Saccharomyces cerevisiae S288C: one gene and its partners. The protein of the gene in region 3 binds, or shares a complex with, the protein of the main gene of each other region. Each region holds a gene or a part of one and is shown on either strand. Other genes may lie near its edges. The genes, in order: MRPL11, MRPL33, MRX14 and MRPL31.

Region 1 (2,920 bases), 580 kb from region 3:
ACTGGTGATCTGAAAATGGGTTGGAATGCGCCCTTTGACGATAATATCTCTTCTTTGGCAAGTCGATCTTTTGGCCTTCTTGCACCAAAGAACTTTCATTGATCTTTACATGCTTCAACTCCTTACGATTTTCTTCCTTATTTATACGGTATGCGTAACGCTTGGAGCCTGGATCTTGGCTTAGTGGCTTGGCTTTCATCTTAACAATAAACGCTTGAAAATTTTATCCTATGGGAACTGCTGAATCTATACTAATCCAGCTTTTGTGGCGCTTTAATAAAGTGAAATGTCAGAAATATCCTGAAATTTTTTGCTGAAGTCATCACCAAAATTTTTCATTTTTTTTTTTTTTCAACGGTCGCTGAGATATGTAAAAAGGTAAGAAAGGTAAAAGAAAGGTAATTTTGACGTCAATACATAGACTAAAGTATATTTACCGTTATTGCTTCATTGTCTTTTTATTTTTTGATGATGTATGTACATGATTGAATAGTAAAACCTTTATAAAACTTGTCGAATTACGGGCATTTTCTTTTTACTTTGATCCCTTCGATTCTGCATCTGTAGTTGACTCCACATCCTCTTTAGGTTTTTGGTTGTCATTGTGAGATTTTAGTGTTAAATACAATGCATTTGAACTGTTTTCCAACGTACGAACCAAACCCAACCCACTTAGCATTTGCAAAACGCTGACTAACTGCGACTGCATTTCCGGCTTTGTGGGGAGAGTCTTAAAAGTGTTTATTTTTTCCACATTCAAAACTTCGTTTTCTACTTTTGCACCAATCACCATCAGCTTGTCTTGTGCTGACTGCAGAACCTTCAATAGCTTGGCTACTTGTTGAGGGTTGGTGTCTTCGTATGTAATTGTGGCCGTAGGACCCTTCAGTAGTGGCAAGAGTGGATGTTTCCAGTTTTGCTCTTTACGCTTCACGAATCCACATGGGTCGGGCAGATGCGAATTTCTCAAGTAGACTTCGAACAGGTTGTTTCTTACTTTTGTGAGTTTCCCTCCTGTCTGTTTAATCTTGAATCTGAAATGGTGATCTTCTGTTTTGGAAAGATTATTGTAATGGACAAAAAAAATCATAGAACTGTTCTCCATTAAATGCTTGTATGTATCGATGAGAAACGTCTTCCTCGAGTCCAGCGGCTTTACTGTCTTTCTTGAGGGTTGTTCAGAAGCCAGAGCATAAAATCTCTTATGTACTGTACCAATTGTCTCCTTCAAACCAAAAAAACCATTTCTGGGGACCCATCCAGGCATAAACCTTAGCTGCAACATTATTTATAATCACACTCCGCGCCCAAGCACTTCCAATAAGGTCTAAAGCTTTTGTTTTCCTTACTCTTCAATTGTACTAACCTTCTTTCTTTTCTCAGTTTACTGCTATAACTCTACGTTTTTTTCTGTATGAATCTCTACTAAGCCCTAGGGTTATTAGTGTATAAACGTTAGGTTACACTATGAAAAAGACTTGTTTAATAGGTCATATAGTAAAAAGCTTAGGTTAAGTGCCTTCAAGAACGAAACCTAATTTTAAAATTGACGACTAATTATCAAGTGTATTGAAGATGGCTTGAGATGAACCTTAGCACTGGATGCTATGGCTTGTAGAATAAGCAGATATCCCGGTAATTTAATTTGAGTTGCTCAAATTATATACAAGAACGTGGTAGAGACTGGATTTGGAAGCGTCTCTTTTTATGAAGTAGATTTTAACTCCGTTTTCTTTTCATTTCCTTCTATTCTTTTGTACAGAGTGTACCACCACGTTTTAATACTTTGTTTTAATACAGTAGGCAATGGTTAATCAGGGCCAACCGCAACCTAACCTCTATGACAAACACATTAACATGTTTCCACCAGCAAGGGCGCGGGAGTCCTCGCATAAATTGGGAAATGCCAATTCGGATAGGCATGGTTTGCCAGCTCAAAATATAGTGCCTGCACCCTATCCAGTGGATGACTCTATCGTTGAACTCACACCAGCTATTCCTTTTACATCCCCTTCATCTTCCTCATCATTATCGCTGCCTTTGAGTGCGCTGAATTTCACAGACGGGAATGCTGATGGTGGTCAATTAGGCACTCCAGTAACCATAAATAGTAATAACGGCATGGACATTTTTAATTCCAAGCCAACAGGTGAAATAGGATATGCCAATAATGGCACCAACAGTACTGGTAGTAGGTATGAACTTCCTTTCAATTTTAGTTCTACAAAAGAGAGTTTGGGTTCACCAGCTGTACAAGATGCATCAATAAGCAGTGGAAATCGAATATCAGAGTCTGTAAGGGACAACTCAGCGCCACCACCCTATGAGGAATCTGAATCTAGGATACTGCAGGAAAAAGTTTACAGAACCGAGGAAAAAGCTCCAATACGACCTTTGAATAATAATCCTGTTCCACCACAAAAAATCAACCAACCACCCACTGGGAGCGCGAAGACAGACGATAATGGGTCCTCAGGTGGTGAGGACAAACTGTCTTCCTATTCACCAGAGGCATTGGCTTTCTATCAAGTGTACAAGAAGACAATTACTGACTCTTCAAAATTCACCCCCGAGATACAAATGCAATGGTGTGAAACATTACTTACATATGCCTTTAATGAGGATTTCATATCGCAATATAACATAAACGCGGAGAAGCTCAAAAGAAGCTTAAAGCCTGAGGAAATGCTCAAAAACCAGAAAGTCATTTTGGAACATTCATTCAAGGTGCTCACAAAATTGATAACTTTAAAATGGCCACCTGCCATGTATTTAATGGGGACGCTGTATTCACACCAACCCTATTTACCTATAAAGAACAAAAACATCGTTATTAAAAATGATGAAAAGGCGCTGGAATATTATTGTAAAGCTGCGAAATTGAACAATTCAGATGCATGCTACCGTGCAGGTGTATGCT
Region 2 (2,542 bases), on a different chromosome or scaffold from region 3:
GACAAATGATCACTTGCATATTCTCCAACATGTGGTTGTCCATGCTTTGTCATTTCATTACCGGGCGGCATTCTCAAAAAACCTCTGCATTTAACTTTATTTTCTTTTTCAAAATCGCCAAGGGTTTCCACTTCCTGACAATTACTTTGTGGGTCCCATTTCTTTACATAAAATAGATAGTCTAATAAACCACGCCAAGTGTTTGCCCAATTTGAAATTTCAGGCTCACCTCTATCATTATCAAGACCTGCATTTTCTGGATGAACATTCTTATACCCAACAGAGTATAGTGAAATAGCCCTCATATCCAATGAGTTATGGAGTTGTGCCATTTTATCTACGAGTTCAGACTGTTCTTCATTAGCATGAAATTTTTCAGGAACGGGGCTCTCAGGTTGATCTTTACCATATTTTTCAATATTCCCGCCTTCTTCGTCATCTGCACCTTCTTCGCCATCACGGACCTTGGAAAACTTATATGAAGTGCTGCACCCAATGACGGTCTTTGCCCTGTTTCTATAGTGCACTGGTTTGGATGTCATAGATAAATATGGTGTGTCGAACGGCTGGGAATTAAAATCACCACAGAAAAAAGGAAACCAATGAGATAAATCCCCATCATTTTCGTTCTGTAAAACATTCACACGATGCATGAATTCCTTCATCTTTTTTAAAACAATATAGCATTGTCTTGTTCGTTCATAAGTACCAAATGGATGCCAAAATAGATGCGTAGTGCCGATCAAGATACCGCATTTTTTAGACGATTTTTTACCCAAATTCGACAGTACTTTCTCAGAAAACTTCAAGGCTAAGACTAATCCCACGTTGTTTGTCGTTGTTCTAGTGGAAATGCTTTCTGAACTTTCTTTATCATAGTCGATTAGCATTTTGTCAACCTGGTGAAATAATTCTCTCCTCCACATTATCGCGACACCATGGTTTTTTGTAGCATTTCTATAATATTGTCCATCGTATCCCAATTTACTGAATTCATCTTTCCAAAAGCTTTGAAACTGAATATGATCAATCTCTTGCAAACAAATGACATCGGAATTATAATATTTAAACTCGTTTAAGAGAACTTTAGAACGCCTGTACCATTTTAAAGCGTCACCACTATCCGGGAACAGCTTTCTGCGGATTAGAGCTTGCGCCAAGCAATTATAAGTCATTAGCTTGAATCTAAATCCAGTTACTGGCTCTGCCTCATGTAGAGATAGGAAAGGTCTTCTGATAAAATGCAGCTCTGGCGGGCAGTCCGGATCAACACCTTGAGCCAACATTGCATCTCTTTTAGCCTTTCTCATAACTTCCCTTTCGGCACGAACCTTAGCGATATGTTCTGGGGTCACTATGGGCTTCGATTTTTTACCTTTCTTGCCCTTCTTTTTATGTTGAAGTAACGAATCATCATTGGTTTGATGTTTTGCATCTTTTACAGATTTATTAATTTCTACTTCTTGGTCGGGCGCAACATCTGGGGCAACCACTTTGACTTCTTTGTCTTGTGTCATATTTACTTAATACTCTTAACTACAATTAAGAAGCTATAAGGAGACTACAATCTCATCTTCTTGCAACACTACTTTTCCTTTCCTCTTGCTTTAGTGCAACCATTTTTTGAAAAATGAATGGTCTTTCTGCACGAAATATCTCTCGAAGAGCTTTTCTAGATATTAAGGATAAAGTATATCATCCCAAAAGTTAGGTGATGGAATCAATATTGATGGACCAGCTAAAACACGTTGAAAGCAGATATCAGGAATGGTGTTTTACAAAGTCACGTTGAGTAGGTCGCTTATCGGTGTGCCACACACAACGAAGAGCATTGTCAAAAGTTTGGGTTTAGGTAAAAGAGGGTCCATAGTCTACAAAAAAGTAAACCCGGCCATAGCTGGCTCCCTAGCTAAAGTAAAAGAGTTAGTCAAAGTAGAAGTAACAGAACATGAATTAACACCATCGCAGCAACGAGAGTTGAGAAAGTCAAACCCTGGGTTTATAGTGGAGAAGAGAACCATCGACTGAAACAGCGAAAATAAGGCAACTGGATTTCCTTTCTTCTTGATATTCCTGACTTATATATGTATATAGTATTATTTTTTCCTGCATAGGCACATATGTTAATAGTAATTTATGCAATTTTTGATACAAAGAAATCAATACACTATCTCGATTTCATATTTTATGTATGTATATATTTACAAGAAGAAAATTATGCATGGTCTATTGAATTTTATATTTGGAAAAAGAGTCCCTTTTTATAGCTTTTCCAACTCTAACATTCCTTCTAAACAGTCAATTTTTGAAATTTTACAATTCTTCACGATATCTCCAATCATCGGATAATGCATAGAACTTGGATGCAATTTTAATGTTCCTCTAGCGAACGATAAGTCTGGAAAAACACATCCAGTAAATCCGTTCTGCGGTACTGATGTTACCATTACATCGAAAGTCCTTTCTGGCTCTAGTTTGGTTAGCTTTTTTAAATAATTCAGTGTCCAGTACGTCGACGAATTACGGCTAGCCCTTTTTAAAA
Region 3 (2,561 bases):
CTGTCAAAAAAGGTACGGTGAGTGATGATATAAGCTCCTTACTTCAAGAAAGTCTAGGATCTATGCCTTTCAGGCAAAGGGGAAACTCTATCAGCATTGGAGTCGGCAAATGCTACTTCACTGATCGAGAAATTTTACAAAACATTATATCCGCTAGAGCGGCATTTAAAACTGCTGTTGATAATCAAAAATCTAAGAAACCAAATATACTGAGTAAAACCACATTATCAAGCACACATGGCCCCGGTATTGTAATCGATTTTGCTTAATCAGCGAATCAGTTTTGTCTTGTTGGACTTTTTTAATTGTATATATATATATACTGGTGCATTTTCTTTCTTTTTATATAAAATCATGTACATACAAAGTAACCGTCTTTTTAAAGTGGAATAAAGTAACTGCTCTTTTATTTTTGAATAATAGTGAAAGTGTATGTTGCATAATCATTAGATACCTATGTACAAGAAGTATTCAAATTTATCTGAATAGTATGTGAAATTTCAATGAGACAAAAACCACCTACCTTTGAGCTTCCTCCTTTTCAATATCTTAGAGCCCTGTTTGCTCTTGGCCCTAGCCAAGAAACCAAAAGTTCTCTTCCGTTTCAATGTACTAGGTTGATAGGTGTTACCCCTTGATTTCCATCTTCTTTGACCTATTAAGCCAAATCCCAACGGTGTGAAGGACGGAGTCTTCAATGGTGAACTGTTTAAGAGCATACCGGTTTGTGGGCGTAACACAGATAGAGCAGAGAAAGAAGATATAGATGAAAACATTCTTCTTGATTGAGGCTGGCAGAGCCTTGCAAATAGTGGCATTCCGTCCTGCGATTACTACTGTTCTATTCCAACGTTTCTCAGTGAGTTTCTCCTGTAGTTATTTCACTTGTTGTACCTCACAGCTTCTACGGGAAAATTGGCTTTTCAAATTCCTTACAGCTTTCGATCACGTGATCCGAGCTTCAAATGACCTTTCGACGATGCGTTTCATGATTATGTATATATATGTATATATATATATCTATACAGTCTTAAGGAAGCGCTTAAGTTGTTACATGTTAATACTTTAGGGTTGGATTTATTTTACGGATAACATAGGATTTGCGAGAAATATCTGCTTCACTATCACTTTCCGTGCGACGTGTGTATTTGTTAGCGTAGGTTGCTTATCGTTTTCACACAAAGATCTCAAACGCGTCAAAAAACTCGTGTAAGAGGTCAAAAAGAAAAACAAACAAAATAAACAAACAAAATAAATGCAGCTTTAAATCAATATTCGGCGAAGGCAAGTAACGGTTGCTAGCGGTTTTTCCCATTCACATACTATTACACTTCTGCGGTACCAAGCTAGATTAAGTGCTAGATAATAAACCTTTATGATGCCAGCTAACGAAGATAAAGAGAATAATATCGTATATACAGGGAATGAAAGTTCCGGCATTAACTTTCCACAGACGCCGGCTCACTTGCTGAAAAGGTCGCACTCTAATATTTTAAAACCACCTGTAAGATTGGACCAACTCAAAAGGGATGCGAACAGCAACAATGGCAACACATTAAAGTACATACAAGGAGGGAAGGAGGTGTCACCCACAAAAAGGTTGCATACCCATGCGCAACAACAAGGAAGATTGCCTCTGGCAGCAAAAGACAACAATAGATCGAAAAGCTTTATTTTTCCCGAAACTTCTAATCAGAGTAAAGATGCAGACTTACCACAACTACAGAATACACTATCTATACGCAAAAACGACCAACTCAGGAAACTTTCGCAAATTTCTCGCAGTCGTAGTAGGGCCAACCATAATGATTTGTTAAGCAATTCAAGAAAGTTACAAAAGTACGGTTCTGTCCTTGGTTATAATGCTTTACCTAAAATGAAAAGTCTAGTTTTAAAAGATCTTGCAGATTCAGGTAAAAATGAAGAGAGTTCCGACGATGATGAAGGTAATGAAGATTCCGAGAGTAAACTTGGCAAAAAACTCCAAAGTGCACTTTTAAAACAGGATTCCTCCGACGGTGAAAATGAATTAAATGGTGGCCTAGGACTATTTAATGAGCAAGGTGGTCTGCAACAACTCATAAAGAACTCCACGAAGAATGAGCAAAAAACTAAAAACGATAAAAGTGATAAAACTGATGACTATGATATCGAAATAGCACCACAGAGGCAGGAGCCGTTACCGTATGTACCAGAAGGCTATTCCCCATTTCAACAAGATGATATTGAAAAGCTGAAGACGTTCAACTCACCATATAAGCTTGACTTGGAAGACGAAGATGACACCCCAGATAAAGTTGATTTACTCCCACTAGAACAAATTGATGAAGAAGGCGAAAAAGATGAGACTGAGTGCATCACTCGGAATCAAGAAGAAGGTGCAGCGTTACCACTGCTGTCTAAGAACTTCAAAGAAGTTGCCGCCGTCCCAACCATGGAGTTAGTGTACAGCGAAGAAGGCCTCGATCCTGAAGAACTAGAGGACTTAGTTACTTAGATCCACTGCTCATTCACATACACACAACATATATACACGTATATACAGATACTTTATAACATAC
Region 4 (2,922 bases), on a different chromosome or scaffold from region 3:
GTCTTACCTCTTATGCCTTATTGCGTTTTTCCAAGCATCTGCTCCATATAATAAATGTAACTACCTATCAACCAACTTCCATGTACCTTACCCAATTGGCCTACCAAGTTTTCGTTACATTGTTTCGACATGATATCTAGTTGTTTTGTCGTTTCCTGTAAATTCGTTTGAAGCTCTCTAAGTTCGTGTGCAAGCTGATTATACTGCCTTTGTTTGTTAGCGTTCATTCTCTTGCCTGAAATTCTTTGTGTCCTCTTCGTTTTGAAGTTCAAATGTTCTGATATGTTCTATTTCGCCATTTATCTTGTTGATCTTTCTTCCCACCTTTACAAAAAAATAACGTTGATTTCAATGGGCATGATATAATATGAGCAATACAAAACATCAAAGCCTTCTTAGGAGTGTTACTTTCAAACATGGATCTATAAACAAGTTATTCAATGATTAAACTATATACAGATGAAATTTTTATATCAATAAAACGATCTTTTACGTATCATTCAAAAGAATTTTGGGGCCTTTCTAATGGAAATCTTCGTCCACTTGGGCACCTTATGAATACCCTTCCTATAACCAACAGCTTTTTTATCAAAAGTCCAATATTTATCTTTAGAAGACATTTGATTCTCCTTTGGAAAGACTGATGGTTTGTTTAACAACCTTAACGATTTACTTCTTGGCTTGTATTTCTTTTTGCTCTCCATGGCTTCTTGATAAGTAAGACCTTTATCCTGACATCTTTGGACGTGGAGACCTAAAGTTAATTGCTTTATGACTTGATCAACGTTTCTTAATCTTTCCCTTTGACGGGTTTTTTGATGTGTGGACATTCTCCATGGAATTTTCCATAGTAGGCCACCAGCGACGGGGCTTGTTAATTTGAATGGGCCAAACATTGGAGTCTTATAACTTGGGTAGCCTTTTAAATACGTCTCCTTCCTACAAAGTACGGATATCTTTTTTCCCTCTTTGGCTTCCCTTTGTCCTTTTGTTATACCGTTCTCTTGAACTTTTTGAATGCTCTTGTACTTCTCCGATTATAAAGTTGAAAACGGAGTGCCCTGTATTTATACCTATGATAGTTTAGGAAGATTTAACCATAATTAAAGCCAGAGATACAAAAGTCGAATATCTTCAAGTTATCTGGAACAACTTTCATATATTTGATAAGATGGAGCAAAACAAAGATCCGCAGATGATCTCGAAACATAGTTCTAGGCTACCTATATGGGTGCTAAGTCCTCGCGAAGAACAACAGGCTCGCAAGAACTTGAAGACGGAAACATACAAAAAATGTGCAAATTTTGTTCAAGCAATGGCAGATTGTGCTAAGGCAAATGGAATGAAAGTTTTTCCCACTTGTGATAAGCAACGAGATGAAATGAAATCGTGCCTCCTGTTTTATCAAACAGATGAGAAATATTTAGATGGTGAAAGGGATAAAATTGTTTTAGAAAAAATCAACAAGCTTGAAAAGTTATGTCAAAAACAAAGCTCTACAAAATAAGCTGTGTTGATTGATGTTTTTGATTTACATCTTTTAAGGATTTTTTGATATATCCATTCTTGTACATAAATTATATACACACAGCCCAACAATAAAAAGGAAAAATTAATACGAAGGGTATATATGTATGGTATAATACTTAAGTTCACTACAACGGACGTTTATAGTCAGAATAAATCGAGGAGATCCTGTGACACTATATTGCCGCCCGAAACATCGGGATTGTTTTTACCACCAGAAGATATACCGTTTGAGTCGCCACCTAGTTTCAGCTCCTTCAACCCTTGTACAGCCTTGGTATCATTTGTATTTATTTGTGTGGCATCCTCAGATGGTCCGAAATCAAATAAATCATCCAAATCGCCTAAAGTTGTTAAAGTATTCAGCATTCCTGCATTTGTATTTGTTACATCATCTCTTTCATCAAAATCCAATAGCACATCATCGTTAGCCTTGCTAGAAATTTCATTTTTTGCCATGCTTTCTAATTCCTCTATATGTTTTCCTTTAACTATATTTTGAACATACTTTTTGCCTTTTCTCCTATTTGAGTCGGGCTTGAAATAAATGGAACTTATAGTACCCAATTCCATTAATAGTTTCTCTAGCACTTCTGGTGAAAACTTCTCCAGTGTATTGGAGATCATTGGAAGTTTATTTTGACATAGATCATTAACCAAACTTTCATTATTTGGCATCGAAAGGCATCTCCAATACATCATAGCCATATCTCGCACATCTAATTCATGTGTCTGTTGTGTGGCCAATTCTAGGACGCTTTGTAGCATACTACCCGTTAAAGTAGCATGTAGTCTGACTATTGTCATTAGTAAAGACATCTGTGTTAAAGCTTCCTCTTGAACAAAGTTCTCTATAAAAATATTGATTTTTGACTCCAAATCTGAGAAATTGTTGGGATGCTGTCCTAGCAACCAGACATAGTTGCACTTCGCAATATCTGATTGTAATAACACCTCTGGATTTGACCAAGTATTAAATACTGCACAAACTTGTTTGGCCATCTTATCGTTTCCGGGGCAATGTCTTAATAAATCACATAATGATATACAGCAGTCGTCTTTTATTGTGTCTTGTCTTTCTAACAATTCTAGGAGAATATCCAAGACTTTACTGACGAATGATTCTTGTGCATATTTAATACCCAACTGGGACAAAGCTTGAATAGCTCTTGAAACAAACTCAGGTTCATATTCCATTGCGTATTCCTTTAATTCTGTCAACAACAAAGTACATTGTTTCAAGTTGGAAGGATCGACTAGTCTTACAAGGATATCGATCTTCTCTAACTTGACGTAAAGAGGATCGTTGAACTTGACATAAAATATTCTCAATTCTTTGGTTAACAGCTCTGGATATTTCTCCAATATGATCCTAATATTTTTCAAAGCAACATA

What was found.
Region 1: MRX14 (region 3) and MRPL11 share a complex: the UniProt entries of both Saccharomyces cerevisiae proteins name them as parts of the mitochondrial large ribosomal subunit.
Region 2: MRX14 (region 3) and MRPL33 share a complex: the UniProt entries of both Saccharomyces cerevisiae proteins name them as parts of the mitochondrial large ribosomal subunit.
Region 4: MRX14 (region 3) and MRPL31 share a complex: the UniProt entries of both Saccharomyces cerevisiae proteins name them as parts of the mitochondrial large ribosomal subunit.

What each region holds. Positions count from the first base shown.
Region 1 is NC_001136.10:96,840-99,759, reverse strand, and holds MRPL11 (mitochondrial 54S ribosomal protein uL10m MRPL11), read right to left. Parts: upstream 1,286-2,920; coding exon 536-1,285; downstream 1-535. Other genes in the region: TRM8 (tRNA (guanine46-N7)-methyltransferase), read right to left, coding at 1-199; ACK1 (Ack1p), read left to right, coding at 1,807-2,920. UniProt on the Saccharomyces cerevisiae protein: Component of the mitochondrial ribosome (mitoribosome), a dedicated translation machinery responsible for the synthesis of mitochondrial genome-encoded proteins, including at least some of the essential transmembrane subunits of the mitochondrial respiratory chain.
Region 2 is NC_001145.3:840,175-842,716, forward strand, and holds MRPL33 (mitochondrial 54S ribosomal protein uL30m MRPL33), read left to right. Parts: upstream 1-1,767; coding exon 1,768-2,028; downstream 2,029-2,542. Other genes in the region: NGL2 (RNA exonuclease), read right to left, coding at 1-1,517; DSS1 (exoribonuclease II), read right to left, coding at 2,262-2,542. UniProt on the Saccharomyces cerevisiae protein: Component of the mitochondrial ribosome (mitoribosome), a dedicated translation machinery responsible for the synthesis of mitochondrial genome-encoded proteins, including at least some of the essential transmembrane subunits of the mitochondrial respiratory chain.
Region 3 is NC_001136.10:680,432-682,992, reverse strand, and holds MRX14 (mitochondrial 54S ribosomal protein bL34m MRX14), read right to left. Parts: upstream 819-2,561; coding exon 501-818; downstream 1-500. Other genes in the region: mitochondrial 54S ribosomal protein uL1m MRPL1, read left to right, coding at 1-269; YDR114C (uncharacterized protein), read left to right, coding at 767-1,069; PDS1 (securin), read left to right, coding at 1,376-2,497. UniProt on the Saccharomyces cerevisiae protein: Component of the mitochondrial ribosome (mitoribosome), a dedicated translation machinery responsible for the synthesis of mitochondrial genome-encoded proteins, including at least some of the essential transmembrane subunits of the mitochondrial respiratory chain.
Region 4 is NC_001143.9:184,786-187,707, forward strand, and holds MRPL31 (mitochondrial 54S ribosomal protein mL60 MRPL31), read right to left. Parts: upstream 897-2,922; coding exon 501-896; downstream 1-500. Other genes in the region: HSK3 (Hsk3p), read right to left, coding at 18-227; CMC1 (Cmc1p), read left to right, coding at 1,172-1,507; APL2 (Apl2p), read right to left, coding at 1,675-2,922. UniProt on the Saccharomyces cerevisiae protein: Component of the mitochondrial ribosome (mitoribosome), a dedicated translation machinery responsible for the synthesis of mitochondrial genome-encoded proteins, including at least some of the essential transmembrane subunits of the mitochondrial respiratory chain.